Linked DNA regions of Coturnix japonica. The protein of the gene in region 1 interacts with the protein of each later gene in a pairwise test. Links are inferred from orthologs where the notes say so. Each region holds a gene or a part of one and is shown in the gene's direction. Other genes may lie near its edges.

The links.
Region 2: the proteins of CREB5 (region 1) and RBPMS interact in binary tests that used the Homo sapiens proteins (3 or more experiments, as listed by UniProt). The two-hybrid records come from large-scale screens. The link is inferred for Coturnix japonica from reciprocal best matches to the Homo sapiens genes CREB5 and RBPMS.
Region 3: the proteins of CREB5 (region 1) and SPRY1 interact in binary tests that used the Homo sapiens proteins (3 or more experiments, as listed by UniProt). The two-hybrid records come from large-scale screens. The link is inferred for Coturnix japonica from reciprocal best matches to the Homo sapiens genes CREB5 and SPRY1.
Region 4: the proteins of CREB5 (region 1) and FOSL2 interact in binary tests that used the Homo sapiens proteins (3 or more experiments, as listed by UniProt). The two-hybrid records come from large-scale screens. The link is inferred for Coturnix japonica from reciprocal best matches to the Homo sapiens genes CREB5 and FOSL2.
Region 5: the proteins of CREB5 (region 1) and SPRED1 interact in binary tests that used the Homo sapiens proteins (3 or more experiments, as listed by UniProt). The link is inferred for Coturnix japonica from reciprocal best matches to the Homo sapiens genes CREB5 and SPRED1.

Annotation. Positions count from the first base shown.
Region 1 is NC_029517.1:30,649,877-30,655,488, forward strand, and holds part of CREB5 (cyclic AMP-responsive element-binding protein 5), read left to right. Parts: intron 1-2,006; coding exon 2,007-2,330; intron 2,331-5,612. UniProt on the Homo sapiens protein: Binds to the cAMP response element and activates transcription.
Region 2 is NC_029519.1:30,662,702-30,668,889, reverse strand, and holds the start of RBPMS (RNA-binding protein with multiple splicing), read left to right. Parts: upstream 1-2,646; 5' UTR 2,647-3,273; coding exon 3,274-3,525; intron 3,526-3,601; coding exon 3,602-3,640; intron 3,641-3,746; coding exon 3,747-3,809; intron 3,810-4,188; coding exon 4,189-4,339; intron 4,340-4,612; coding exon 4,613-4,743; intron 4,744-5,017; coding exon 5,018-5,080; 3' UTR 5,081-5,087; intron 5,088-5,198; exon of another isoform or gene 5,199-5,302; intron 5,303-5,618; 3' UTR 5,619-6,188. Other genes in the region: DCTN6 (dynactin subunit 6), read left to right, coding at 80-127, 225-367, 435-533.
Region 3 is NC_029519.1:47,745,116-47,751,488, reverse strand, and holds the start of SPRY1 (protein sprouty homolog 1), read left to right. Parts: upstream 1-2,681; 5' UTR 2,682-2,798; intron 2,799-6,373. UniProt on the Homo sapiens protein: Inhibits fibroblast growth factor (FGF)-induced retinal lens fiber differentiation, probably by inhibiting FGF-mediated phosphorylation of ERK1/2. Inhibits TGFB-induced epithelial-to-mesenchymal transition in lens epithelial cells.
Region 4 is NC_029518.1:24,466,232-24,472,338, reverse strand, and holds the start of FOSL2 (fos-related antigen 2), read left to right. Parts: upstream 1-2,367; 5' UTR 2,368-2,927; coding exon 2,928-3,203; intron 3,204-6,107.
Region 5 is NC_029520.1:25,855,515-25,861,744, forward strand, and holds the start of SPRED1 (sprouty-related, EVH1 domain-containing protein 1), read left to right. Parts: upstream 1-2,300; 5' UTR 2,301-2,583; coding exon 2,584-2,615; intron 2,616-6,230. UniProt on the Homo sapiens protein: Tyrosine kinase substrate that inhibits growth-factor-mediated activation of MAP kinase. Negatively regulates hematopoiesis of bone marrow.

The DNA of each region.
Region 1 (5,612 bases):
TAGGGAATAAGTGCTCGGCAGTAGGGTAGGAGATACTTAACTTTGCTGCTATAACTGCATCAATGTGAGAAGATTGTCAGGAGTCGTAGTGTAGCAACAATTTGAGAGGCTTTCTGTGAAGAAACATCTTTAAGTCAGTGATCTATTTTTCCATAATACATCTGAGACATAGGTATGTCCTACAAAGTGCTCATATGTTTTCTTTTTGTTAAACTATCATTCAGCGTGTTGATCGTTAGTGAAGCAACGTACCGAACTTTACCCATTACCTTGCAATAGAGTTGCACAGACAGATGTCATTTCAATACAGACTGAAATTCTTGTATACACATCCTGTGTTCCCTGACAAGTTGGTTTGTCTTTAAAGACAAAACCAAAATGCAGTTCAATTCTGGAACAGGCTGCCCAGAGAGGTTGTGGATGCCCCGTCCCTGAAGGTGTTCAAGGCCAGGTTGGATGGGGACCTGGGCAGCCTGTTCTGGTATTTGATATGGAGGTTAGAAGCCCTGCCTTCAGATGGGGGTTTGAAGCTTGATGATCCTTGAAGTCCCTTCCATGCCAAGGCATTCAGTTATTCTGTGACTCTATGATATTGTGATTACTCTTCCACTTGGCAAGAGTTATCCACATTGGCTGTAGGATCTTCTGAATTCGATCTGTGACCTACAATGGTTGACACAGGGAAATGTACACCTCTGTTCCTTGTACCACTACCATTTCTTGCTGGCTTTCCTGCAAATGATCGCTCTTAATGATGAGATGTCTGCTCCTCATTACACTGTCTGGCTGGATAATGAATTATCAACTACTTCATGGGTTATTCAGAACATGCTAGTCTGGAATCAAGTAATACCATGGAACTCCTTCCTTGCATTTTCTTCCTGCTATTTTTCTGCTGACTAATTACTTGCATTAGTGAGAGTTGAGCAAGTGCTCATTGGCTTCTTCAAAGTGAGATCTTGGGTGTCTGTCTGGAAAGAATGATCTACATTCAGCAAGACATGGAGTTACGGGTATGAAGGAAGTTTCTCTGTGTGAAAAAGAAGCCTTTCTCCTAGCTGACACCTGTCAAGCTGTAACTTTAGCACACTTGTCTAAAACACTGGTAATTTCAGTAGTCTGAAGGGCAGGATTACATCAGTGAGGTGGCTGTGTTCCAGTATAATTCGCAGCTTTGGGGTGACCCTGCAACTGTGCTGAACAGGAACCTTTTTATTTCTTTTTATTTCATTTGTTTATCATCTTGGTACGCACAGACCATACCTCGTAGCTTAAAATCTAGCAGCCCTTCCCATTACTCTTTGGTGGTTTGTGACAGAATCCCACTGATGTTAAGGAAAGCATTGTCCTGGTCAGTGCTCCAGGACCCAGCAAAACATGAGGAGAAAAGAGTTTAGCGCATGATAACATGGCATATGTTTGAACTTTTAGCAAAAAAAAAGGATCAGGTTGGGACCACCCTTATAATTTTCTTGTCTTTCTAATGAAGAAAAAATAACAACACAGGTTAACTGCTATTACAATTGTAGAATACTTCAAACTTAATCTTTAAAAACACATCAGTGCAGTGTATTTCTAAGTAGTCTTTTAAATAAAATCCAGAGTACAAAGGAGAGAAGAACTAAATATCAGACTTTGTTTCACCTTTATTTTAATCAAGACCTTTCTTTTTAAAACTGAAAGAACAACAACTTGATGAAACTAAGGGTACTGAGCTGGTCAAACAGAAAAGGAGGAAAGCAAGTTATTTCTCTTCAGCAGCACAGTAGGAAATGTGCAAATGTTAAGTTTTAATTCATGTGTTTGCATCTCTACATACTCATGGTGGAAAATTAGATTAGAGCCCAAGAATATGTTCTTTCTCAAAATGGAATAAGATGTGGTTTACCAAGGGAACAACAAGAAAAAGCATCCCAAAACACAAGGCACCATTTCTACAACAACAGAAATCTTATTCTGAATGCTCTGAAATCCACATATAAATTTTCTTCCTTGCTTTGTTCCAGAGATTGAAGGCAGCACTGACTCACCACCCTGCCGCCATGTCGAATGGGAATATGAACACCATGGGCCACATGATGGAAATGATGAGCTCGCGGCAGGACCAGACGCCACACCATCATATGCACTCACATCCTCATCAACACCAGACACTGCCACCTCACCACTCCTACCCCCACCAGCACCAGCACCCAGCGCACCATCCTCATCCTCAGCCTCATCACCAGCAGAATCACCCCCACCACCACTCCCACTCGCACCTTCACGCACACCCGGCACATCACCAGACCTCGCCGCACCCCCCGCTGCATTCAGGCGGACAAGCACAGGTAGACCTCTGCAAATTGCCACATTATTCTTTAATGAATGAAGTATATTATGATTCTGTGTAATTGTATACATTGTACAATGTACTTGAACCTAAACTTCTCAGGCCAAGATTTAAGAATTGTATGTGTTCTGTCTACAGAAACAGATAGCACAATCTTTAGTGAAGTAGCCACACATATGCGTAATCAAAATAAGGAATTTATGTATGTGTGTGCGTGTGATTGATACATGAAGGAACAACCTCACTGAACTCAATGGCATATTTATTTCCTGTCTAGATTGTGGATAGTAGAGATAGATAGTTTTAAGGTACGCTTAGGGGAAGAGAAAAAGGATTCCAGACCTCAGGGAGTAGGATTGCAACTCCTAGCTGAGGTGTATGATTAGGTAACAGTATAGAAAGAGACAAAGCTAGTTCAGGGATTTAAACTAGGAAAGGAATTCTGAACTGGATTCAGATGATGTTAAATCAATGCAGATCTTCACTGAATGAGATGTAGGTCTCCACTTTTGGACCAGGTATATTTTCTTCCTCAGTTTGGATAATTCAATATCTGAAAGGTTTCTTGAACTTATGAACTGAGCAAGGACTTTGGCAGGTAATTTTAAGAGGAATCCTGCTGATGCTTTAGATGATAGGCTTCTGTATCAAGGAGATTGCACAAGAACAATAAAACTCTGGGTCCAGTGAATGTAGCGTGTCAGGTCTAGGGAGCAAATGTAAGGTGTGCAGGTGGGTAGTATATACAATCAGGACACTGATCCAGCCATAAGAATTTCAATCTGTGAAGTATTGCATTGCTTGCAAATGCCTTTCAGACAAGCTCTTAGAAAACATTAAAGAAAATGAGAAGATTTGGCTGACATCCCAGTGTCCCACAACATTAACTATTTACTAACATCTAGCTTTATTATTGCAGAGACTGCAAGCACATGGCATTTCCCCAAAGCATTTGCTAATGTAAAATGAATTGTCGGCATTAGAGAAACAGTCTAAATAAGAGATCAGCAGACTCCCCTGTGAGAAGATGTCCAGAGCTTTCCTTAGTTTAGTTCAGTTTTTACTTTGTGAATTCAATTATTTTCCCATCTGTTAATGAGTTATTTTCCTTAGAGTTGTTTAAAAACTCCAATAAAGAGATGTTATCTCATACCGTAGAAACCAGAAGAGGATGGCTCTCTAGGAGATCCATGAGAGAGTAAACACTCCATGCATCAAATAAGGCAACAGGTGAAATCTCACGCCCTTAAGGATAAGGCAGCCAGCCAATGAGCCAATGTCTTAGCTGCCTTTCCTTCTTAACTTTCTGTGCTGCTGAAGCCATTTTTGATTCTTTCTGTTTGGAACAGTCTAGATTCCTTGTGCTTTGCATTCACTGCTAGCTGGGTACTCCAAAAGTCTTGCAGTCAAGCACTGGGGCAGGCAGGCCAACTGGCAGCAACAAAGCTGTGTCAGATGTGTCCCGGTTCCTCTGAGACTCTGGAGCGAGCTCTTTGTGGTAACGTGAGCTTTACAGGGAACACAGTGTCACTGAAGGCAATGGTCCCCAGTAGGGACCAAGTAGGTCTTCACCTTGACCTGAGGTGTAAGTGTCACCAAAAGGTTGTGGATGGAAGCAATAGCTGATGGATCTGAGTAAGACTCCTGGGATCATCTGCTTCCCCAGGCTGCAGAGCTTTTTCTGCTTGCCTGTTCTCATAGTGCAAAGACAAGAGTGATTTCTGAATAGACACATGAAGAGAAAACAAGAGTTTGCTGAGTAATAAACATAATTATTACTTTCTAAGCTCATCTGTAGTCTCCATGGTATTGACTGGCCACTGTGGAGATCAAATTGCTCCAGCAGATGTTGATTTTATGGTGAATTTTACTAGTTCTTAACTTCCTTATTCTTCTGAGACGGACTCTTTAGTTCTAAGCCACCTGCCAAGCAGCATCAGGGTCCATGTTGCTGTGGGCCATGTGTTCCGATGACATAAATTTCGTTGTTTAACCCCACACCATTCTGTAATGTCAGCATTCATATCATGCTTTTCACCTACCACTTTGATGCACAGGAGCCCAGTGAGCTGTGTCTTCCCAGGATGAATGGATGGGTATTAATTTTGTAGTATGGTGCAAAGAGTGGAGATGAGCATTAGATCAAGGCTAAGAATAGAAATAATCTTCTAATATATATATTTCTGAGAAAGACCTATTTTACCAAGCTGTAACTGTATTGCTTCAGCTAGTGCAAAAATTGATACTATTACTGCCACTTTGGCCACATTAACACTTCTTCATATCAAACTTAACAAGAGAGATAGCTTAGGTAGAGCAGAGTTTGGGATGTTTCAGTTTATTGCCTTTCCTACATTTGTCTTGATTATGGACATATGATAGGCATTTTATTAAAAATAATTAACATTAATATATGTTCCTTTCCTTTCTTACTAAAATGTGTTTGTCCATAGGCAATGGAGACCTCCTGTTAGAGAATGATGCTTAGACAGTTACTAAGATATATTCTAACAGAATGTAGGGCTAAAGTGTTTAGCACGCTCAGCCTTGGAGGACAGAGGGCAGCTGGTATCCCTCAGTGGACATCTCCTATGGCAGAGATGGAGGCTGCAACATAAGAACAACGCCCCGTGTCTGCAGTGGATTAGAAGCTTTAATTGCAAATGGAAGGACTTCATACAAGCTAAAATGTTAAGAATCAGGCAGAAAGTGCAAGGTGGCTTATTTAGTTTTAAAAGTTTGTCAGTTTGGTTTTATTTTTTTCTGCTCCTACAGAATGGAAATTACCTGACTGTGCAACAGAAAGCTGAGAGTAAATTTGGCTTTATGTGAAAGGCATTATCAGATGCACAGTATAATTATACATAAAATTGCCACTCTAACTGACACAAGTCAGCTGGGAAAAGGAGCAAGTTCTGCTTCAAAGTTTGTGGTGAGATTCTAGACAGAAAAGCAACCTTGCAAGCTGATAGTATCATTTTAATTGAGACAGACAGGTGTGTTAACCAAACAAATGTTAATTGCTGCAGTTGAAATTCAGGACTCCATCTGACAAAGCACTGAGTACGTCCATTCCCTAAAGTCAAAAGGAAGCACCTTGGAGGTTTGGGCCTTTGCCAGAATAGTAAGATAAATTTTGAGTCAACAATTCATGTTTCTGGACTGTTCCAGACTCCACTGTTGTAGGAGTTGCAGGAAGAGCAGAAGTGTCTCCAGCTGTGCTCCAGCAACCAGATCCAAACATCAAGAAAAACCCAAAGCACAAGGGTGTGGGCACCAT
Region 2 (6,188 bases), on another chromosome or scaffold:
CGGGACAGATTTTGGTTTGAAAGTGGCATTGGGGCACACCTTTTCAACCAAAAGATTTTCCTTTGACAATAACCTGTAGATTCACAGGCAATGAAAGTGGGAGATAACAACGTGATTGAATCCAAAGGTGAGCTCAGGCTGTCTTTGTTCTGCTCAGTTTTTGCTGTTAGAGCAGCAGCACGTGGTTCTAATCAGGGTGGCCCTCACGGAGACTCTCCTTACAGCATTTGTTGGCAGGAACGTGATCCTGACGAGCGGCTGCATCATCGGGGCCTGCTGCAACGTCAACACCTACGAGGTGATCCCTGAGAACACTGTCATCTATGGCGCTGACTGCCTGCGCCGCGTGCAGACCGAGCGGCCGCAGGTAGGTGCTGTCCCCCTGCCCCCAGGTTCCCCTGGTGGCTGCCCATTGACAGCACTTCTGTTTGCAGCCCCAGACGCTGCAGCTGGACTTTCTGATGAAAATCCTGCCCAATTACCATCACCTGAAGAAGACGATGAAGGCTGCGGCCACACCTGTTAAGAGCTGAAAGCCTTCTGCCATCAGCTGCATGCCTGGGGCCTCTTGTCCTTTGGGCACAGCCCGGGAAGCAGCTGGGCTCTGCATCCTTCATTCTCGCTTTGTTTTATTTATAGCCCCCACAGGCTTTGGACCTGTCGTCTCCCTCACACCAACTCTAACATTCCACGTGCTTTATGGGAATAAAGTGGTTCTGCTCTCGCTGCAGGGTGTGGTTGCCATTCTTTCCTCCAAACTCAGGGCTGGGTGGTGATGGGGAGCTGCAATGTGCTGCCAGGAGCGCTGAGCACCACTTTTAACCTCGTGGTGCTGTTGTACCACAGCTGTGGGCCAGAAGCCACCCTGAGCCCTGTAGTGTGGCAACGGATCCCGCAGCAGCCAGCAGAGGGAGGCCGGGCCTCGCCGTGTGCCGAGTGTGGAGGAGAGGCTGCTCAGAGACAGCAGGACTGCAGCGGGGTGTGGGCAGGTGGGCCCTGCCTGTGTGCGGGGGTCCTGCGTGGCCCACCCTGTCTGTGTGGAGGGGGAGATGGTACGTTGCAGCTTTTAGTGGGCATCTGATCCTCGCCGTCCCAATGTGGGTGCAGCGCTGCTCAGGATGTGCAGACACCCCTAAGGCTGAGTCCAAACAGGGGCTGCGAGCACTGCCCAAGGGCTGCCACCTCCCCAAAGCAGGGCCAGCCACGCTGCCAGGAGAGCCGCCTGTGTCCCACTGGCTTCCCCACACCAGCCGTTGTCACGCCTTCCGGCCCTGTGTTCCCAGCTGTGTCACACCTCTTGTTCCACGTTCTGTCCCGCATCCCGTGTGCCATGTGCTCACACCGTGCTCCCAGCCTTACGGCCCGCGTCCCCATCGCTGTCCCCAGCCCCGCGTGCTACGTACCCAACCTCGCGTCCCACGTCCCAACTCCAACGTCCTCGTCCCCAGCCGTACGTGCCACGCACCGAACCTCACGTCCCAGACCGCAGCCCTTTGTCCTCCATCCCCACCCCGCGTCCCGTCGCCCCAGCTCCGCGTCCCACCCCCGCTCCCGTCCCCGGCCCCGTCCCACCCCGTGTCCCCACGTCCCTCCCCCAGCGCCGTGTGGCCGCCCGCCCGGCCCCGCCCCGCCCGGCCCCGCTCCCTCCCGCCCGCCGCAGGGCCGCGCCGGAGGCAGCCGCGGGCGGGTGGCGGAGCGGCGGCGGCACCATGAGCAGCGGCGCCGCCGAGCGGGAGGGCCCCGCCGAGCCGGGCCTGCCCGAAGAGGAGGTAGCGGGCCGGGCGGGGGAGGGGGAGCCGCCGAGGGCGGGCCGGGTCCCGGGGCGGGAGCGGTGCGGCCCCCACGCGTGTCCGCGGGGTCCCGTCAGCCTGGGCGTGGGGCTCGGGGCGCGGCGGGAAGCTATGGAAGTTGGTGGGGGGGGAGGCGGAGCGGCCCGGAGCCGGGTGCGCCTCGGCACAAGGGCTGTGGGACGCGGGGCGCTTGGACTCACGCGGGGTGCGGGCACGGCGCCTCGTCCCCCGGAGCGGAGGCGGCGGCACAAGGTCCCGTCGGGCGGCACGGCGGCCGCGCACAGAGCCTGGCCGGGGACGGGAGCCGGGACGGCGGCCCCGCTCGGCTCTCGGCGGCACCGCTCCCGGCACAGCGCGAGGTCGGTGCCGCCGCTGCCCGGCCGCCGCGCCCTCACCCCGAGTGCGCGGGCACGAGGACGGGTCGCGGTCACGCCGCGGGCGGGGGTCGGGGCGGGGGCAGCCGAGCGGCTCACCGCTGGTGGAACATTAAAGCGAGCCCGGGGAAGGTGATCGGATGCCTGGGGAATGAGTCACCGCGCTCCTCCCGACGGTCCCTTCCTGCCCGAGCTGACCGGCGGAGCTCGGCGCTGGGGCGGCGGAGCGTGACCGCGTCCTTGGGGCAGCCGAGGGGCCACGGCGCTGACCCGGTGCCCGTCGCACCGCCCGCGGCCGCCGCTGCTGTGCCGAGCCGCCTCCGGGCCGCTCTCGGGCGGAGCGAGGCCCGCCAGGTCTCCCCGAATGTCCCCGGGGCGAGGAGAAAACCTGCCGGGCGGGGACAGCGCGAAGGGGACGGAGCAGGCACGAGGCTGCGCCCCGGTCTGTCCGTGGGCAGCAGCAGAAACAGAGGGGTGCGGTGGGGTGGGCACGGGGTGGCTCCGGAGCACATTCACCACCCTCGCCTGGTGACAGTCCCGGGCTGTGACGAGGGATGGTGAGGGGTGAAGGCGAGCCGGGGAGAAAGGCTGAGCGCGGCAGGGTGGTGGGGCTGCCATGGGGGGTGTCAGCCCACTGGCGTGGAAGGATCCCTCCGGGAGGGGTCCCCAGCCCCCACAGAGGGGATTCTGCCACTGCCCACCCCGGCCTGCACTGACAGCATCTGCAGGGCCCGGGGAAGGCTCCAGAGCCACAGCCTCTGTCAGGGAGCTGCCCCGCTCCGTGGCAGAGCAGGGGCAGCCTTTCCCCACGGCTCCTTGCTGGGGAGACCGCATCGCAGCTCCTTCCCCAGCCTCTGCTTGTCTCTGGTTTTGGGCAGGGGGGAAAAGCCTAAATGGGATTTCCCCCACCACCCCCCTTCAAGCTCCTGCTGTAATCTGCGCTTCTCTCCCTGCTCACTGAGCACCGCAGCACTGGCCCGACTTGGCCGACCTGCGTTTGAACTTTCAAAGAAAACAAGTCATTACCGAGGAGAAGCCGCATCTCTGTGAGGCCTAATTTCGGAGGGTTTTTTTTCAGGGCCTTTATCTCTCTTATCTGCTGCGCAGCCATGGGGCTAAATTACCCGGAAAGTCAGGCTCGGGCGGGTTTAGCTTTCAGGAACACAGCTCACAGCGGGCACTTCCTTGAGGCCGTGAGCACAGAGCTGTGTGCAGGAGCGTGGCCTGGAGGCCCTGGGGAGCCTCCTGCAGGCCCACAACCAGCTGACGCTCTGCCCCTGCAGGTGAGGACCCTGTTTGTCAGCGGCCTGCCCCTGGACATCAAGCCCCGCGAGCTCTACCTGCTCTTCAGGCCCTTCAAGGTACTGCACCCGCTATGGGGCTCTGAGGGCCTCTGAGGCCAAATGAAACCAATGGTGCTTCTCTTCTCTCCCGCAGGGCTATGAGGGGTCACTTATCAAGCTCACCTCCAAGCAGGTATGGGCTGCACCGTGCCCCCACCTGCCTGGGGGCTGCCCTCACCAACTGCTGGGGATGTGGTGGGGTCTTGGCCCTGACCGCCCTTCGCCTCCTCTCTCCGCAGCCCGTGGGGTTCGTGAGCTTCGACAGCCGCTCAGAAGCTGAGGCCGCCAAGAATGCACTGAACGTGAGTGCTGGGACCCCCTAGGGAACACCAAAAGAGATGGATCCCAGTATCTATTACCCCGTGGAGACCTCCTGGGGAAGCCCGGTTCCTCCCCATCCTTGCATTGAGGCAAAACGCCGCTAATCCCTTGCTGGGAGCGTGGCTGCACGGGATACCGACTACCAAATATGGTGCTGAGCTCGAGGATGTCAGAGGAATGTGAGCCACGGGGCCATGCTCGCTGCCAAGCACATGAGGTCACGGCCACCCCAGCAGCCCGTGGGGATATTGGGACAAAATCCGAGGCTGTTTTAGCCCAAATGGCCTTCTTGAATGGGGGGCAGCACCCTACCACAAGATTCAGCCTAACTGACCTCTGCTGCCCTGTTCCTTTCCACAGGGCATCCGCTTCGACCCTGAGATCCCCCAGACCTTGCGGTTAGAGTTTGCTAAAGCCAACACCAAGATGGCCAAGAGCAAGCTGATGGGCACTCCCAACCCCAGCACGCCCCTCCCCAACACTGTACCTCAGTTCATCGCCAGGGAGCCCTGTGAGTGCTTGCATCCTGACCCTGGTCCGCCCAGTATATGGCCCTGGCAATGCCCCTTTCTTACTGAAGCAGTTGGGGCAGTGATACCTTAGGAGCTGGGTGCAGGGAAGCTTTTGGAGAGGCACGGCAACTGTGGTTGGGTTTGGAAACCAGCTGCTTGTGCTTGGGATGACGCAAGGGCAGGTGACGGTGGCCTGGGCAGAAGTGCAAAGCTTATACCTGCTGTCCACTTTCCCCTTGCTTTTAGGATTAATTTTCCTCCTTTTCCTGCAGATGAGCTCACAGTGCCTGCACTTTACCCCGGCAGCCCTGAAGTGTGGGGGCCGTACCCTCTGTACCCAGCGGAGCTGACGCCTGCTCTACCTCCTCCTGCGTTCACATACCCTGCTTCGCTGCATGCCCAGGTAATGGCACTGGCTCACAGCACTGCAGCCTTTCTGACAGGCAGAGCAAGAGGGAGGGAAAGGAGGGGAGCTCTGGGGCCAGCTGCCCAGAGGAAGAGCAATGGTAAATATTATTGCAGCCTCATACTTCCCCTGTCAAGGCAGCGCTGACAGGCAGCACCTGTGCTCCTCCTGGAGGAATCAGCACTGCAGCCACCGCAGCCCCAGGGTATGGCTGCACTACCCTTTGCTGCAGTTTTCCTTCCTGCTCACCCCCTGCCCCCATGTCTTGCAGATGCGCTGGCTCCCTCCCTCCGAGGCTGGGTCTCAGGGCTGGAAGTCCCGTCAGTTCTGCTGAATGCTGTGTAAGTGCCCCCCGGTGTCCTCCGTGTAGCACACCTGCGGTGCCAGCCAAAACTTGGGTAGGAAGGGGGACGTGCCAGCCCCATCCCTGAGCCCTGCCATGCCACCCACAGGTCTCGGGTGTGTGATGGCGGCCGACGGTCAGTCTTGTGGGTATGAACAGAGCCCCCCGGCGGCTGCTGGGCACGCACGCTCTCTGCAGAACCACAGTGTGCTGGTAAGGAGCGCAGTGCTCGGGCACAGGCTGTCCCCCCATGCTTAATCATCCACAGCGGGGGTGGGAGTTCCAACTGCCCTGTCACCCCACCCCCTCTCTGCCATACAGCTTCCTGCCCTATAGCAACACTGGTCACACTCCTCTTAAACTAAAAACACAACCTAACTCTGCCCTCCTGAACAGCCACGTCCCAGTGCCACGCCTGCCCCATGCCCACGAGATGTGCCTGTACAGGGGCAGGCTGGCTGCTGCTCCCCCAGGCAGCATTGCCTCCCCAGCCCGGCTGTGTTTGTAACCCGTGCCATTCTTGTTGTAGGCTAGGAAGAAACCTCACACAAGTCTGGATTCCTCCAAGACTTTCCCACAGCCTCTATCACACATCTGTTCTTCTAGAAGAAAGCGAGAAGCATACCCCGTATAATATTTCCCTCTTCTACACTGTATATTTGTAAGAAAGAGCGTGTTACTGCTGAAAGCATGGTTTGACAGGCACTGCTGTAGCGTTTGAAAAGTATTTTCAAACAACCCCTAGGAAAGCAGACTGCAAAAAAAAAGAAAAAAAAGCAAAGCGAGAGCAAGTATTTTTGTACCAAACTCCTGAACAGGACAATCTCACACCGGGCTGGATGAGAGTTCTGGTGCTCAACATACAACAGCACGCCCTTAGCAGCCTGCCTCCTCCCATCCACAGGCCAGAACGTACGCTGCCTCAGCAGTCTGTGGTGCTCACAGTGCTCCGGCGACATCAGCATCGCCTCTGCACCCCAGTGCACTGCCAGCATTGGGGTTCTCTTCCCGGTGGCAGCACACGGCACCAGCCATGACAGGCAGCTTTTTTACCTTGGCACGATGTTAATGGCTTGCTGCACAGCTCCGGCAAGGTGTG
Region 3 (6,373 bases), on another chromosome or scaffold:
AGTTCTCGTTCAAGGATGACTATTTAAAATCAGCAAACTGATTAATTTTGTGTCTGTAGAGCTGATTTTTCAGGTTTGTGTGTTCTGGCTCTTTCCTTTTAGTTGCTTTACTTGTTTTCAATGTCAAAGTGTGGTTCTTCTCCTCCAGAAGCTGGGCATGTGCCAAACACAACGCTCCTGTAGATCAGCATCGGCAATCAGTGCTGTGGGTGAGGCCGCGTGGGGATGATGCTCTGTGCAAATCCCGTGCTGATGGGGCATGGCAAGGGTAGAGGAAGCTGAAAGGTAAAGCACGGTGCTTTCCTTTGTGTTGTCTGGTTGAGTCAGAGTTAGATGGATGCTTGTGAGTCCACGGATAGGAAAATTAGCCCTCACTGCAACAGGCAAGGGTGAAGGAGACTGGCTGTAAGGCTTTTGGTTGTCTCTTCTGTGTTTGTGCTTAATGTTGTTGGGTTGTTTGAAGTGAATTATAATTATTTTTATCTATTGTTTTTATCTATGAGCAAAATCTTTTGCTTTTGCTGATACTTGACATGAAAGAAAATGGTGAAGGTGATCTCATAAATACAGCTCAATAAAGATCATTTCCTAAGGAGTGGGTTCAAGACGTATGCAGCATTGTAATTGAATTTGGGCATACTTTTGAATGGCGAGTTGACATGTGGAAGAGAAATATTTCAGCAGAAAGCTGCCCCTAATGTTGGATTTTGTCTGCTCCTTCTGCAACTTCTGCCTGTTCATTTATTAAATTTTTCTGTAGGAAACCAGGCCATGCATTTTCTCCAGGGCTTTGTGTATTCTTTGCTAAGTACTTTAAATGGTGTCATTCTTGCCTGCAGACTTAAACCCAGCACCTGCAGTGTTCTGACAGCAGAAGGAGACGTGTTTTCTCTGTTAACCCATCCGCCAAAGAGTGCAGCGATGCGGGAAGAGTCTTGCTCTGTGCTCACATGGCAGGACTCCAGCAGGAGCGCAGGTGCTGCGAGGGAAGGCAATGGCAACCAGATGACATTCCTTCCCCTTGAGCCAATGCTCAAACAGATTTGGGGTCTTTTCAGCAAAATTTGAAGCTAGTGCATTGCCTGCATGTGGCTGTGTGAAACCCATAGCAGAAAGGCTTGGATTCCACTCACCATGAGGCTGGAGGAAGGAGGAGGTTCTCACTTCCCTTTGCAGTCATTGGAGAGGGATGAGAAGTCTCAGGTAGTGATTCAGCACAGCATGCAGGCCGTTGTTCATCGCTGGCAAAAATGCATAACTGGTGGTGATGACTATGTTGAAAAAGGGTGGCTGAGAATTTGCTCTATCAAATAGTGTTGTTATGTTCTTTGTAGCTGTTGTTGTTTCTGTGCAAATATGTGGCATTACTTTCAGAGAGACATGCCTCCATCCTGTGTGCATGAATAGGCCAGGACATGCTGCCATTCTCAGTACCTGTGCCTGTGTGGCATGGCTGTGTGGTCTCAGCCACAACCCCTTGATGGCTTCGTCTCTTTCACTAACACAGAGAAGTTCTCACATCCCTGTCTGGGGAAGCAAACGCCTCCATGGAGAGTGGCAAACTCTTTGATAACCTTCAAGGTGAAATACTCATTGTCTCTCGCTTTATCCAGGAATGGATTATCTGGGTTGTGGAACAATGAGGTCATGTCTTTTCTCTACACTGCTGGAGAGTGCTTCAGGTTTCACACAGGGTAGCTGCTCCCGTCCAGCCTTCTCTGCTTAATGCCATGGAAAGCAGCTTCTCTGTCAGTGAGCTTTCCCAAAGCTGAGGATGTGAATTGTGTCTATTTGGCCTCACGTTGTTATGCATGAGGCATCTCCGTGGCGTTTGGATTGCTGTGTTAGCTGGGAGCTGGATGTGTTGGGTGCAGTAAGGTGAGGCGACCAAAGTCATTGGGCTCCTTTCAGGTGAATGTCCCCCTGGCTGCACTGCCACAGCCCAAACCTGGGCACCGCAGCTTTAATGGAGAGCTGTTGCCTTGAGAGTGAGGGATCCCTAAACAGGGCTGCAGGTGTGAAGGCCAAGGGGTGCTTAAGTAGATTAGAACACAAATACAACCTTGAATGTGCTGGCATGCTTCCTCACCACCAAATCAGCAAGCTCTACCCTTCTACCCTACAGATTCTATCTTTCAGATGGTTATGCTCTTTAATAAGCAGGACCCCTAGAAAAGAAAAAGTAAAAATAGAAAATCATATTAAAAAATTCTGTGTTGATTTCAAGCAAAGCACAAAAATACCAGAGATCCCATGAATACTGAGATTACGGTGGTGTGCACAGGATGCTGCCACACAAAAAATCTCTGTGACAGAAAATCCTTGAAATTTGGTTTACAGAACTCACTGCTGTTTTTTGTACAAACATGTAACATAACTCATCCACCTCTTTCTTCTTAGTGTCGTGGAAATCTTGGTTAAGCTGTCTGAAACATGTAGAAACAACTGGTTCCCTTGGTCTGAGCCCACATCCAGGCTTTCATCATCCGTAATTTTGGTAAAAAGCTGCTTTTGTTAATGTAACGCATCATAGTAACCGGTTACACTTTCACTACAAAAGGGTGTTTTATTTTCCCGAGGGATGAATAGCAATCGAGGGTCAGCTGGTAGTGCCAAGTGCCTTGATAACACAATTGGCTGCATAGAGCTTTGTTAGGCCCCTCCGTGCTTGCTGGGGAGACTTAAAAGAAGATGGTGGGAGAGCTGCTCCCTGCATACTTGACTGCTGAGGGTCTGAGTTTTTCGCCGAATCACAGAATTGAAGGGATTGGACTTTGGTTTGCCTGCTGGATAAGAAGGTAAGTGCCTGAAGCAGAGCCCAAGGAGCCCTCACTGCCTAACAGTGGGGGCTGGGGAGGAGAGGAGACGGACACAATGTTTGAAGATGACTGTATGAATTTCTGCCCTGAAATCAAACACTCACTGATTTTAGTTTGGAAAGATAGGGGCTGAGAGAGTCGGTGGGAGGCAGAAAGTGGGAGTAGCGAGTGTAATCAGAGCAAGGGCTGATCTGTGTCATCTTGATGCTGATTTCGGTGTGTTTGTGACACACAGCTGTAGTCACCCTGACCCATGTTAGGAAGCATCTCTGTTAAACACTCAGTGGGGTCTGGCTTTGATCTCATTAACCTTATCAGCGCTGGATTAGCAAATGTGCTTCTGGAGCCTGACTCTCAAATACTTAAGTTGAGATTATGATTCATTTTTTCTTTCTTTCAAAGTAAAATCAAATCCAAGATTAAGTTGGACATGAGCCAGCAGTGTGAGCTTGCAGCCTGGAAATCCAGCTACATCCTGGGCTGCATTAAAAAAGGGGTGGCCAGCAGGGAGAGGGAAGTGATTGTCCCCCTCTACCCAGCTCTACCACAACTGTGTCCAGACCTGGGGCCCCCAGTACAGGAAGGATGTGGAGCTCTTAGAGTGGGTCCAGAGGAGAGCTGCTAAAATGATCAGAGGGCTGGAGCAGCTCTCCTGTGAGGAAAGGTTGAGGGAACTGGGCTTGTTTAGCTTGGAGAAAAGAAGGCTCTGAGGAGACCTCATTGCAGCCTCCCAGTACTTGAAGGGAGTGTTTAAACAGGAGGGGGAACAGCTGTTTATGAGGATGGACAGTGATAGGACAAGGGGGAATGGTTTTAAACTGAGACAGGGGAGGTTTAGGTTAGAGATTAGGAGGAAGTTTTTCACGCAGAGGGTGGTGATGCCCTGGAACATGTTGCCCAAGGAGGTTGTGGATGCCCCATCCCTGGAGGCATTCAAGGCCAGGCTGGATGTGGCTCTGGGCAGCCTGGTCTGGTGGTTGGCTGCCATGCATATATAGCAGGGGGTTGAAACTCGGTGATGATTGTGGTCCTTTTCAACCCAGGCCATTCCATGATTAAGCTGTCCTAGGCCAAACCCACTGGCTTCTGCATTGGTCTCACAGTCTCTGGGTAGTGCAGAGAGGTGGCCTTCATGGAATTCTATCCCTGAGGTGAGAGCCAGTCCCCAGATGTCATCTTCCAGTGTCATCTTTTCATTGGAGTAAATAAAGAATAGAATAAAACCCCTTCTCAGCCAACCTGTACAGCACTATGGGTTACTTCCTTGCATTGCTTGTACCTGTTGTGGCTATAATGGAATGAAATCATGGTATTTTTACAGATTTTTTTCCTCTTGGAAATATTTCATTATAATTATTAAATAATTATTTGGCAGCAGTCAGCACTGCTGCAAAAACCTTTTTCTTTCTTTTTTTTTTTTAATGTTAAAATGAAATGTCTTCTGGATCTTCCAGAAATTTAGTAGCAACTAGTGGGGAAAGGAGGGAAATTCTGCCTGTTTTCCTCAATGAGAACAGAAGGAAAACGTTGGTGAGTAAAACTATGAGAAAATCTGTGGAGGAAATAAAATTAATAGAAAGCATGTGTGGAAAACTTCCTCCTTCTAAGTGTGCTCATTGTTTATTTCTAAACTCTACATGAAAAAACAATGAGATGGAGAAGAAAAGCCCACAGTACATCATTAAGCTCAAAGAAGTTTTATTTTCCTACGAGTATTTGTAGCCATCAAAAGGATCCAGTACCTCCAGCGGGCCGTTTTGTACCTCCCTGCTGTTTTTCATGGAAGTTTACGTGGTTGTCCCCTGAGATCATGTGATAGGAGATGGTTGCTTTGTGGAAAATAACATGCTAAGCAGATGTGAGGTTAGAACCTTGGGCCCTGTGAAACAAGGGAATGCAGCTGACTTTCAACTGTGAGACAGTAGGAGTAAGGTCCCAGAACAGCACTGATAGGGGCTGAAGCAGAGCTAATGGCTTCAGGAGAAACTGAGGCAATGCCCTGGGCCGTTCCTGTGGCCATTCCTGCTGGCAAGCTCTGCCACACTGACCAAACAAGTTGTAGGCAGTTTGTACTTAAGCATCCACCCTGGCATATCCATAGTGACTATCTTAAGTTAACACGAGATGATGTATTCTGAATTCTGGAAGATGCTGGCACGGTGTGATGACAAAATCAACCTTGTAAGTGAGCATCAGCTGGAGAAGAGGGGTGTTTGTAAATCTTAGGCTTTTTTTTTCCCCCATCCTTAGAGCTGACATGTTTTACCCTAGTCCTAAAAAAAAGAAAAGCCCCAGTGCTGTAAGAAAAAACCTCCATAGATTAATTTCAAAAAGAAAGTTCCGTGTTACTGCATGCTGTCTGAAAGTGTGTGACTCTCAAGAACATCCAAGAAAAGCAACCGGGTTTTTCCTGGGGATTCCTTCAGAACGAAGTGAGGCCTACTTTGCTCTGTGTATGCTTTCGGAACTGTTTATTTGATTGGTGTCTTGGAGATGGCTTTGCACAAAGATGCGCTCTACACCTTGAAATGGTTTCTGTCAGGATTGGACTCTTTAGCTTGACGTTTTGGGAATAGCCAGTACCTTCTACTGTTACTAGTGCGCTGTAATTTTAAGCTGAATTTATCCTATGACGTTATCTTGGGGACCACGGGAGACACAACAGCTGAGATGAAGCAGAAGTTTTGAATTCTGTTTGGAAGTGAGCTAAGAACCTGTGGAGCTTGTGACTTCTCATCTGGCATGCACTGGAGCAAGTGGTCTCTGGATGGATAGATGGATGCAGCTTTTGACATCTCTGATTAGAAAATAGAGAGTAGAAGTCAGGTTCTGTACTAGCTTTGTGCTTCTGCTTTTATATCAACTACAAGAAAGATTTCCTCCCACTCCCCATGACTTTCACAGTAGCATATATGGAAAGAAAATAATGGTTGTTGCAACTTGCTAAGACCCCCCACTTTTAATTCATTTGCCCTGTGTTACGTAATAGCTGCAAACAAGATGTGTATAATAACCTCAGGTTTTTAATCTCTACAAAACACAACTATTTGAAAGGGTGGTTGAAAGGTTAAGCTAGGAAGAAGAAACTAGTACTATAATAACTGTATTAAAACAACAACAACAACAACAACACAGATTTAACATGTTATATAATCTCTGTTTAACTTGCTCCGGGAAACTCTCCAGCAGCCAGTGTCAGTCTCAATTTTGTACAAGTCTGTACATAACCTTTGTAAGAATTTGTATGAAGCTGGGTGGGGAAACAGTGAAAGAAGAAGTTAGAACAGAATGTAGTCTGACTAAAGTCTTGCTATGATATGGAGTGCTGAAAGTAGTAATGGAGGCTCTCTCCTTGGAATGCCTACTGGTGAAACAAGCCCTCTGTGCAAGTGACTTCTAATGCCTTATCACAGGCAGTGGACTTCCCAGTGCAATCTCATTTCACTTATGACATTAAGTGGCATTTTGAAAAGCTTCTAGGTATATTAATTCCCTAAGTAAGCATTGCTCTTGAAGATTGTGCTCAAAAGCATTCTCACTTCTCTCAGCTGGAC
Region 4 (6,107 bases), on another chromosome or scaffold:
AGGGGTGCAAGCAGGATGCAGGTGGGGATGCAAGCGGGGCTGTGGGATGCAGGCAGGATGCAGGTGGGATGCAGGATGCAGGCAGGAATGCAGGACACAGGGAGGATGCAGGCAGGAATATAGGATGCAGGCACGATACAGGCAGGCATGTGGGATGGAGGCAGGATGCAAGATGCAGGCAGGACGCAGGATGGAAGGAGGATGAAGGCAGGATGCGGGCAGCACAGAGCCAGTGCCTTCAGTGAGTGCAGCAGCTGCTGGGCCGAGGAGGAGTTGAGGGAAAGGAAGAGGCAACAAGAGTGTTTTGTCTGGATCAGCTGATGGGCAGGGGGAAGGTGCGTGGGTAAACAGTGGTGCCAATAACTCCAGCATGGAGCTGCCTGACAGGGACAGCCCTTGTCCAGAGCAGCCACCTCCTGGTCATCCCCTCAGACCACAGACGGAACAGCTCTGCTCCCCGCAGTTCCATACATAGCAGCGAGGGGAAGGAGACGGAAAAAGCGCGGGTTGTGGTGGAAAGATGGAATAACATCCTGGGCGAGATCATCCTCGGAACTCTCAGTGCTGCCTGGAAGCAGCAGCGCTCAGCATGTTTTGCTGCGCTCGGTGCTGTCCGTGCGGTACGGAATTGCTTTCACGGAACTTCGGCCGCCTTTGCACGTGTGTCAGGTGCCGCAGGTCACCCCCTGCTCCCCAGAACAACGGGAGCCGGGCGGGGGGTCACTACGGGACGCGTTTACAACGGGCCGTCTGAGGAACAGCGCACAGCCACAGCCCGCACCGCCGTACCGGGGTGACGGGGGAGCTCACACGTTCCCTCCGTCTGTCTCACAGGGGGCCCCGCGGCCGGGTTTGGGGCAGGGACGGGTTGTGCGGGGGACAAGCCCTCGCTTGTTCCGTCGGGTGCAGGGAGAGCCCGTTGCACAACGGAATTCATCTTGTACGTTCGTAGGGGACGGCGCACGGCGTTGGAACCCGCGTGTTGCCGAGCGCCCGGTGCCGGTGGTCCCGCTATGTTGGAGGGCGCGCTGCCCCTTTAAATGGCGTCGGTGCGGAGCAGGGAATCCCTCTCTGGGCGCGTCATCCGCGGCAAGGAAACCCGCGCTGGCGTAGTGCGACGCAAATGCCCATTTTTGGCAACGTGCGACAGTGGACGGCACCAAGAGGCCACGGCCGGGCGGGGGGGCGAGACATCGACGGGGACCTACCGGCAGCCGGCGGGACGGAGCCGGGGGCGAGCGAGGGAACGACGCGGGACGCTCGGGCCGCCGGGGGCCGCTCGGAGCGGAGCGGAGCCGGGGCGGAGCGCGGGGAGTCACCGCCCGCCGGCCCGTCCCCACCCGCGGGGACAGGTGGGCGGCTCCGGGCCGGGGCGGGGGGGGCGGAGCGGCAGCGCCGCGGGTTTGACGTGTGCGGGTGCACATGGTGCGGCGGCGGCGGCGGCGCGGGGCCGGATAAACGGCGCGTGGGGCCGGGCGCTGCCAGTGCCCTGAGTCACGGCGGGCACCGCGCTGCTGCTGCTGCGGCTCTGAGTCACCGCGCGCGGGAGCGCCGCTTTTAGCGAGGGGCGTTCGGGGGCGGGAGCCGCTCCGCCCGCAGCCCCAGGGCCGGGGCCGCGCCGCCGGAGGGGCGAGTTCGGGCGGCGCGGACAGAGAGGACGGGACGGGACGCAGCGCACGGGGCTGCGACTGCCTGAACCCCGCTCGGCGCCCGCTCAGCGCTCCGCCGCCCGCCGTAGTTTTTGGTCGGCTTTCCGCTTTTTCTCTTTTTCTTTTTTTTTTCCTTTTATTCCCCCCTTCTTCTTCTCCCGCCGCCGACTCTCTCCCGCTGCGGGAGGCGCGAGGCAGAGCCCGAGAGGTCGGCACGGAGCGAGGGGCGGGGAGACGGCGAGGGAGCGGCGGCCGCGGCGCGGGAAGGCGGGGACGCGGCTCCCCCGGGCCGGGCTCGGACCATGTACCAGGACTATCCCGGGAGCTTCGACACCTCCTCCAGAGGCAGCAGCGGCTCCCCGGGACACCCCGAGCCCTACTCGGCCGGCGCGGCGCAGCAGGTAGGGCCGCATCCGCCGCTTCTCGTTCGGGCGGGGTGGGCGCCGTGGACTCGACTCGGCGGGTGGAGCGCGGCCGGAGCCGAGCGATCGCATCCCGGCGGTTGGGACCCACGGGGGTGCGGGGGACCGCGCCCGGAGCTCCCGGCGGGGCGGCGCCCCTGGGCAGCGCGGCGGTTCCCCGTCCTTTCCCCTTCCCTGTGCCGGGAGGTTCTCCGAGCGGTCCCGCGGCGCTCCGGGCCGTCTCCCCTACGGAGCACACGAGCGGACCGACTCTTATCCCCGCGGCTCCCGGCCGTTCTCTTTCCCTGCTCCGCCGCCCCGGCGTCACGCTCCGGCTCCGGGCGGTGCGGGGCTGCGCGCTTCCTTCGGGGCCGCTCCGCTCGGCTGCGGGGCTCGGGCGGCGAGTGGGACGGCGGGGACGGGAGCGGCTTCCTCGAAGCCGGGCCCAAAGGGCGCGACGTTCCTTTGCCCGTCTATCCATTTTTTTTCGAGAAAACGTTCAAAAATGGGTTCTTCGCCCATATAGCCCCAATCCACCACTTGGGTGGAAGGCGTTACACAACCGGGGCAGTTATACAAACCGAAGTTATTTCATAACTTGTTTACATCGACCCGCCTCTCCCCACTCTTTGGCTTTTTCGGAGTCGCGCTCCCCCTTTTCTCCCGGTATTATTCTTTCTCGGGTGGGTCTGTGCGATCGGGCTGGCGGCGGGTGCGCCTTGTTGCCTCCCATCGAGAAGCCGTAAGATCGTCAGGAAGGGGGGAAGAAGAGGGGGAAGGTAAAAAAGAAAGACCCAAAAAGAAAAAAGTCCGGTCTCAAACTTTGCCAACCGTACCAGCCCGTGACATTCCTCCCATTAAAGAAGTTTTACCAGAAATGACGCTGCGGTTCCCAGCCGCCTCCGATCGCATCTCTCGGGTGCCCTCTGCGGGCCGTGCCGAGCTCGCACATCTATCTCCGTGTCCGGCAGCGGGATCCGGCGCTCCGCATGACAGCGGCCCCTGCGCTCCGTCCTCCGGCACGTGCCCCGGAGCTCAGGCCGGCCGAGGGGTTCATAACTGTTCCTCTCCTCGTCCCTCGTGTGCTCTGGCAGTGCCCGAACTCTGGTGCGTCCCACGGCACGGCCCGGTCCCGGAGGTGATGGACCCGGAGGTGATGGACGCGGGCTCAGCTCGGGACTTGGCAGGAGCATTCGGGATTCGGAGATATCTCGAGGCGTCTTTCCCTCGGTCCCTGCAGATGTTGTAGATTAGGATCACATGCGAGTGCTGCCTTCCCCCAGGAATGGGGCCGTTCTGCTGATTCCGGGCTGGGCAGATCTGCGGGGCTTTATCGCCACAGAAAATATGCATTGCAGAAATTTTTTCTTCGGCTTTTTTTCTTTTTTTCCTCTTCCCAAAGCAAGGGAAGACGCACCAGTCACATGCTTGAGTGGAAACTGTGTCTGTGAGCCAAAACTTTGATGCTTTTTAATTATTTTTCCCATACAGCACAGCACTGGAACATTTTTCCTTTCAAGTTGCGTGCCGTGCTCTATTCCCCATCGCTGCCTTGCCATGTGGTACGCACAGCCCCTCACGGGAATAATTTGTGTGCTCTCAGACTGGGCAACTCTCCCCTGATATCCCAGCGCTGTGTCCAGTCCTTCAAGGAGGCGTTCAGTGTGGGACAACTGGTGGGGCCTTTTATTTGTTAGAGGCTTTGGCCCTATGCTCTGTACTGGATAACTGAGTGTTAGTTAAGACTCTCTAGGTGGATTTTTGGGGAGGTATTTTGGTGTGTGTTTTCCTTCCTCTGTTTCCGAGCTGGGCAAGCCCTGCAGCGTGTCACTCCCAGCAGGGCCAGGGCCTCCTCGGGGCCGGCTCTGGTGAGGCAGAGCCAGGGCTGGGCTCAGCTCTTTGCACTCCTAACAACAGGCCTCCTCCTCGCTCCTTGTTCTGCTTGTGTAATGATACCTGTGTCCGCGTGTTGCTTGGGTCGGGTGGAGAGCAGCAGCAGAGTGCGTGCTGTGCGTGCGGCCCCACAGTTTGGCTGTGGCCCAACCTGTCCCTGTAGATAAGGAGAGCTGAGAGCTGGTGGAGGGGTGCCCCTGGGAGCAGGAGCAGCGTATGAGGAGGTGGGGCAGGCACACGGGGCATGGCTGTGGTGAGGTGTCCTGGTGGGAAGGCTTGGCCATGTGGGAAGCACAGCATAGGGAAAATCCAGCAGCAACCCTGGTGTCCTTATCTGCAGGCTCAGCAATGTGCCCCCCTGCTTAGGTATCTGGGGAAAATACCACTTCTGGAGAGTACAGGATGCGGGTTTGAGGGAATTCTTAAGATACTTGGAGGGATGAAAAAGGAAACCGGTGGCAGCAATGGGGCATGGCACAGACAGGCTGCAGCCAGCATGGCCTCGTACCCTGGCCTGAAAGTGAGCAGAGAAATGTGGTTGAGCTGAGCACCTCTCTTTGCTGTCCAGGAAGCCTGTGCTGGGGGTGCAGAAACCCTCTGGGTGAAATAAAGGGGTGTTTGCCAGTGGCTTCTACAGCGTTCAGATGGTGACAGCCACTTGACTAGTAACTTGGGGCTGACTTGTGTCAGATGTTCGTATCTTACATGGCTGATCTGGTGATGGGTCTGACTCTCCTGGGCTCTGATGGGAGTTTGTAGCAGGTCAGTGGGTGGAGGCTACAGTGGTGTTACACCACCACAAAGGTCCTTATCTCTGGAACACAAATGCTGTCTTTGCATAGCAAAGCACCAAAAAATCTCAATACATTGTGCAGTCATAGCTTCTAGCATCCGTATAAAGAAGGCAGGATGTTTCTTTCTCTCTGTTGGGGTGCAGGAAAGGCTGGTGGTGGCACAAGTAGGCAAAGGTCACAGTGGAAGGCACTCGTGGAACTGGCAGCAGAACTTGCACCTCTTGATTTCCGCGCCTGTGGTTTGTCTTGCACTTTGTCCCTGCTGTGAAGTTCAGATCTTTTCATAACGATGTGATGGTTGTGGAGTCACTGAGCCATCCTCTTGCGGGCCGTGTGGTCACAGCCTACACTGGGCAGAGTATAAAGAAGGGGATTTTCACCAGTAAATTCCTTTGAGGTGTGTACAGTGCTCAGCTCTGGGCCTCCATTGCCAGTGCTCATGAGGGTAGCATTTACTGATGTGTGTGGTGCACTGAGGTTGCATTGGGCTCCAGCTGCAGGTGAGCTTCAGAGGTTCTGGTGAGGCTTCTGCCAAGTCTCAGTGCCATCCTGTTAGCATTGTTTCCCCACTCCCTTCAGTAGATGCGCTCCTGCCTTCTCTTGTCCTTTCTTGTTAGATTTAGGGCTATCCAAAGCTGTAAACTGGCATTTATCTGCGTTCAAACTGGATCTTCTGGTCTGCAGGCTTTGGCAGCTGGGTGTCTTCTGGATAAAACTAGCCCAAAGTGCTGTTGCTATCAGAATGTGGAACACTATTTGCAGTAGCCTTGCTTTAACAAAGCATTTGGGCACGGTGCTTGACTAGGCACACCCTGAAAAGGAAACCTGTGAAGTGCTGTCCCTTATCTAGGACACTTACCTGGGCTGAGGTCAAGCTGATGCAAGGGCTCTCGTGTCCCTACGAGGCTGCTGTGCTGACCTTAGAGCGGGTGTTTTCCGCACGACCATTTAAATGCTGCAGGCTGCGGGTCCTACGAGCTCCGACCCTCCGCAGTGGGTGCGGAGGCAGCTGGAGCAAGGCGTGCCTGTTTGTAAGGCCCGGTCTCACCATTGAAAGTCTCCTGATGGGAGCTCTTCATAGACAAAAGCATTCCTCCTCCCCTGCTTCCCCCTCCGGGGACAAGCAATTGTTTTCCTGGCAGTTTAGTGCCAGCGTATTATACAGATGGATTTACCTCTGTCTGAAACTAGGTGTACGCGTATTTTGGAGATCATTACCTACTGCCTTGGTTTTTACTGCTGCCTTGTTTTGTCTAGACAGTGCAGAGAGCTGCAGGGAACTTGTCCGATCTCAAACCTAAGAACTATTTTATAGGCTGCTATTAAAATACATATCCCTGCACGTAACCATCCCTGGGCTGGGCTTCTCA
Region 5 (6,230 bases), on another chromosome or scaffold:
ATGAAATGCCTGATTTTCTGCTCCAAAACACAAAACTGGAAGGCTCTGAAACCAACTGCTGCCCAGCAAAAGGCCACTCCATATCGGTGTTCTTTGATCTTCCCAATTTCAGCAGAGACAAGGAGGATTTCTGATTCAAGACAAGCCAACAGGTTTTCTGTCTTCTTTGTGACATTCAGATAGAGACAGAAACTCTTTGTAAGACCTCTGCTATGTGTATGGAGCCATGAGATTGTGAGCAGAAGCTGAAGAGCTACAAGATGTAAAGAAGCAATGAGCTCTTCTCCACTTACCTCCTCCATGCAGATACATAAAAGTCACATGACTTTTATCCCATTTTCAGTTCATAAATGAATACACACTCTATTCTCAATGTAGGCATTCTTATAAGCTTTAACTATTTGTGCTAGATTACAAACAACTTTGTTTTATTGAATTGTCGTGGTGAGAAGTGATATTACAATAAATACATTTAAGGAATTTTTAAAATACAGCAGATTTCTCTATCTTTTTGCCGTGATCCTGTCTCTTTCTTCAGAGGTGTCTGAATAGAGCTGTATGACAAACGGAGTTGTTCCTGAGCACTCCTGTACAGGACACTATGTGCCCATCACAAGGCAGAAAGTACTCTAAAAGAATTCTTGCTGCTAGGTAGAGTAATGCGATGTCCCCACAGCTGAGTTTCAAACCATGTTTTTACGGGGGCAGGCAAGAGGTCCCTATATTCAAATCATACATTTGAATCGTTGTGAATTATAATATTGTGCAAAACTGGGTTTCTGGTATATTTTTAGTATTTAGATGAGATTGTGCCATGAATAACCGATCCATTTTTTACTATACCATTTTAGGAAAAAAAATGTTTTTACTAAACAATTAGAAATTTTCCTCCAAAAGCTGCCCTGATAAGGAAGAGAGCATCACAGGGCACGTTTGGGATGCGTGCAAACACGTGCCACGTGGGCCACTGAGCAGAGCGGCGTGACAGCAGCTTGCTGTGATTGCTCCATCACGCTGATGGCAGAGCCCGTTTGGAGTTTGGAACAGGAATGTTACAGTGAACGTAAACTGCCTTCTTTTGCCTGGAAGAGAAGATTATATAGGCATATATATATATATAAAACGAGTTCTATTTAAAATGCTTTAACGACTCTGTGAACCTCCTCTATAAAAAGAAGTCCCCCAAAATAACCTGACAGGAACTTTGTCTTCACATCAACTTTTTCTCATAGTTTTCAAACACGAAAAAAAAAAGAAAAAAGAAAGGAAAAGCCGTCCAGAAAAAGCCTCTGGACATCACTCCAACAGCCCCGGCAGGGCTGCGCTCCCCACCCCGCTGCCGGCGGTGCCCCAGGCGCTCCCCCCGCATCCCCGCCCCCCGAGGGCAGCAGCCCGCGGACGACCGCGTGGGAACCGCAGCGTTTCCGCACAGGAAGGGGACAGCTCATCGCTGCCGTGCGGCAACGGGGAGGGAATGAGCGGTTCCAGGAAAAACGGAACGGGGCTGGAGTTGGGAGAAGTGCCTGAGAAGTAGCGGATGCGCACTGTACTGTCAGCCCCCACCGCGCCGCTTCCCCGCTCTTACCTGCCCCGCTTCGCTCCTCCATCCCGCGGGCCCGGCGCGGGGGATCCCGGCGGGGGCCCCTCTCGTGTCGCCCATCAGCCCCGCCGGCCCGGGACCGCACGGCGCGGCGCGTATCCCTCCGCGGCGGCGGCTCCCGGGAATGGCGTGAGGCAGCGCCGCGGGAACTACTTTGGGAGCGCCGAGCGGCCGCGGAGCTCGGGGAGAGCGGCGGGCCCGGCCGGGCAGCGGGGGGGGTGGAAGGGAGGAGTGCGCGGGGGGGCCGCCCGCTTCCCTCCGCCCCGCTCCCCTGCGGTTATTTTGGATCGCGCGGTGGCGGCGGAAGGAGCCCGAAGCCGACGCTTCCGCCCAGTTTTCCTGTGAGGGGGCGGCGGAGCGAGGAGCGCGGCGCCCAACTTCCCGCAGCCCTGCACGGGCCGGGGGCTCTCCCTGCCGCACGCTCTTCCCGCATCGCACCGCACCGCCGTGACGCAGCCCCTCGCTGCCGGCCCTCCCCCCCCCCACCGCCACCCCCGGGCCGCCTTAAAACGCCGCCCTCCCCCCTGCCGCCAGCCTCCTCCTCGGCACCAGCCCCCCTTCCCCTCCCCCCGTCTCCGGGCCGCGGCCGTCTGCAGGAATCCGGCGGAGAAGAGAGGGCGGGAGGAGGAGGAGGAGGAGGAGGAGGGCGGCAGCGCGGCGAGCGATGAGCGGCAGCGGGAGGACGGCGCGGCGCTGCGCCTGGCGGCGGGGAGCTGTGCCTGGGCGCCGCCGCGCCGCTCCCCAGTAACTGCGGGAGACAGAGAGAGAGAGAGCGGAGCCGCGCCAGCGCCGCATCGCCGTAACGCCGTCACGCCATCCGCGCGGATACGGCGGCTTCGTGCTTCTGCGGGACCCGGAGCGCTCCGGCCCGGCTGCGGCTGGGGGCGGGAGGGGGGGAACAATGGTGAAGTTTCTGGTGAGTTCTGGCTGCGCCCCGGCCGCCCCGCTGCTGCTGCTCCGCCTCGGATCACGGTGAGGGGAAAATGAGCGAGGAGACGGCGGCTGCTAACACCGAGTAAGCCCCGCGTGTGCGCGGACGGGGGCGCGGGTCGGTGCGCGGGGCCGTGGCGGTGTCGCCCCTTGGCGGCGGGGCCGGGCCGGGCTGCGGAGCGCGGTGCTCGGCGGTGTGTTCCGCATGGAAACGGGCGTGTGGGAGCTCCATCCTGCAGGAAACTGCTCCTGAATGTTAATTGGATGAGTCAGTCCGTGTAAATACGGCTTAAACCTGCCCCGGAGCCCTGCTTTTTTTTCTTTCTTTTTTTTTTTTTTCTTTTTTTTTTTTCTAATGAGGACTTGGGACTTTTTTTTTTTTTTAAGAGAGGAGGCAGCTCAGGGATCTCAGTGTTTTTAACGTGTCGGGACCTAGAGCAGAATGCGCGGTCGTGCGGCTGCAGCCCAGCGTACGTAACGTCTTAAAAATACTAAGAAAAAAATAGAGAAATAAATCTCTGGGGCAGGAAGAGGAGATGAACGGAGGGCAGAGAACCCGGGAGTGCCTCGGGACGGCGAAACGCGATCGTGGGGCGTTCTGAAACTACTTTTATCGCAATAAAGTTCGGGTGGCCGCGGAGCTTCGGGCCGGCGGCCCCGCGCCCTGCCGCTGCCACCCCCGGCTGGGCCGTGCGGGCACCGCTGGGCAGCTGCGGGTCGCTGGGGAGCTGCGGGGCGCCTCCGCCACCCGGGCGGAAGAGCGCAGGAGCCGCCCCACGGCGCTGCCCGGCGCGGAGCCGCGCGGCCCGGGCCCGTAGCGCCCCGCCGAGCCGCGGGGGCCGGGCCGGGAGCGAGGCCGGGGCGGGCCGCGCCGCTGCGGTGTCAGCGGGGCCGGGTCCGGAGCCGGAGCCGCCGCCATGTTTTCTTTTTTTGTGAATCGCTCTCATTTGCATACCACAATCTCCATTCATAAAAAAAACACAACGCCATCCGACCTGCCGGCCGGGCACGCCGCTCTCGCTGCCGCCCGCCCCTCGGGACGATGGGGCGCGGTGCGGAAGGCCGGCGGGCGGGCTGCGGCCGGGGCCGCTCGGGAGCCGCGCATCGCCGTGCGGTGCAGCGCTTGTTGACACGGTTATGTGGGAAATATCAGCCGGGGAGGTGCTGGGAGCACGTGATCGCTCCATTCATAAAGTACCTGGCCGTCCATTCAGTTTGCGGTGCCTGCACGCTGAGAGCTGCCGGGCGGCCCGCGGGACGGGCACGGCGAAGGCGCGGGGGTCCGTGCGGAGCCGGGCGGCCACCCGGCCCAGGGTACTGGGGGGGGGGCGCCGCCGGGCCGGGCTCGGGCCACGCTCGGTTCGTGCTCGGCTCGTTCATGTGAAGCGGCGTTGGTTCAGAAAATGCCTCTCGCGGCACAGGCGCACATCGCCGCACGGAAGGGTTTATTCAGAAAACGTCAGCGTGTTTCCCCCTGCCGAAAGCGTCGGCTCAAAAATAAAATAAAGAAGATCGAATCCACTCACGCGAACGTGTTTTCCATACGGTGCCTTAAACGCTTCTCGGTCCTTATTAATGACCGACGTTCGTATGTGCGCTGTGCCGTGGGCAGGGGAAGGCGAGCGGCCGTCGCAGCGGCGCTGGGAGCCCCGGGCAGGCGGGCCGTACAGGCACTGCGGATCGGGGGGGTGTATGGCAGTGCGGGAGGCAGCCTGCACCTCACCTCCGGGCTACCAGAATGACAGAAACGTTCTAATGTGGCGTCAGCTGTTGAAAGGTCAAAATCCTAACTTTGGTTTTAAATGTTTTTAATTCTTCCTTACGAAAGGAGGAAAACAAAAAAGGACTGAAATGCAGCAATGCAGGACTACTGAAGCAGCCACCGTGACCGTTCGGTGCGACTGCTCTGCAGTTGCCAGTGCTAAAATGGAGCTGCTCGTTGCTCGTGAATACACCATTTCATTACCTCAACAAATTACACGGAGGTGATGCTTAATTATCCACTTGTGGGGTGGAGGAGGCTCTGTCTCTGGTGGAAGTGGGAGAATACCTGAAGGCTTTACCGAGTGTTATTTGAAATAGGAGGAACAAGCTGTCATGCAACGTTTAGTCTGAGTTCATTCAGCGTTGCTTGTAGCTCAATGTATATAACCTAACGATGCATTATCAGCAGCAGTGCTTTTTCTCACACAGAAGATATTTTTACTTCCTAGAATGTCACAAGCATTCTAACTCGGGGTGTGGGGGGAGGAGGGTTGAAATATGTACATATATATCTATTTCCCTCAGTTTCATTTGCAGTTCTGACAGCAGCTCTGGCAGGGCCGGAGTCATTCCTCTCTGCTGATTGTGCACACAGCACTGGATTGCTGCTATGAATGACTGGGAAATAGGATTGAAATTTGAAATTATTTGTGAAAATAGGGCAGATCTACATGCTGAAATACATCATATATTAGAAGATCTGTGCTTAATTTCATAATAATTGATATCATCAATGGCCTTGAATTCATTAACAAATCTCACTGCATGTAAGAGCAAATACGGGTACTTGGCAGTGTTTTTGGTGACATCGTGGCTACCAGCAATATCCCAGTAATTGAGCATTATGCTGTGATTACAAAGCTTCATTTTATGGAGTAAGACATAAAGGTTTGTGGTGCCTGGAGTCAATAATATTAAATTCTTTTCAACTGTAACGTGTGGTGCAGAAGATTAATTAAAAAGCTGCATTAAGGACTATTAGGTTTCCTGTCAGTCATGAGCACGTGTCAGGCAGCCTTCTAAAATCCTGACTGCCACAGCTGGATTTTTCTGTGCTGATTTTTGACCGCTCTTGTAAAGATTTCACTGCATTTGTCAGTTAGACGTTAGATAAACGAGAGTATTTCTGTACCTTTTCAGATCCATTTCTGCATTACTTTTTTCCTCTCGGTGCTGTTGTGTGGTCAGTGAGAACACAATGAAGCGCTCACAAATGCTCTTAGTTTTCAAATGAAGGAATTAGTGGGACGTGTGGCCTCGTGGGTCAATCTGCTGTTCATGCAACTTAACATAATAATGTCAGAGCATGCAGGTCAGCAAGCACTGTACAGAATTCCCAATCTGATGGCAGATTTTTAGTGCTGTCTGGAAATGCTTCTGAGTTTCAGTGTTGTTACCCAACAGAAGAAGTGCTGCGTTATGTAGTGCCTGTTGAGCGGGGATGAATGATGACAGGATTAAGATGGAGTCTGAGTTGCTCTATTGAGAAGCAGGATCGCTGCTTCCCTGCTTGTTTACTTTCCTCTGTGTTGCAGGTGGCCCCTTTCTCTTTGGGGGAATGGCTCTGCTCTGGATTTATATTTTGAGGACTCTTTTACAGATTTAGGCTGTTGTATGTTTTGCTCCACCAGCACAGGCATTCTTGTGGTCATTTTCCTAGGTTATTTGACTTTGGAGATTATATATACCTGGTGCTTCCTTAATTTATAGCTGTGTGCTTAACCATTTCTAGGTTGCGATGGACTAAACAGCCTCAGGTGCTGCTGATTTGAAAGCAAAGCTGAACTACATATTTTAAAATACAGTACTTGCTATATTCTTGTATCTTCCCTGAATATTAATGGAAATACTGCTTCATGGGGGCTTCAGAATTTCTTGCAATTGAAATCCAAATACTGAACAGCAAACACGAGATCCTATCAGGGAAAGCAAAGCC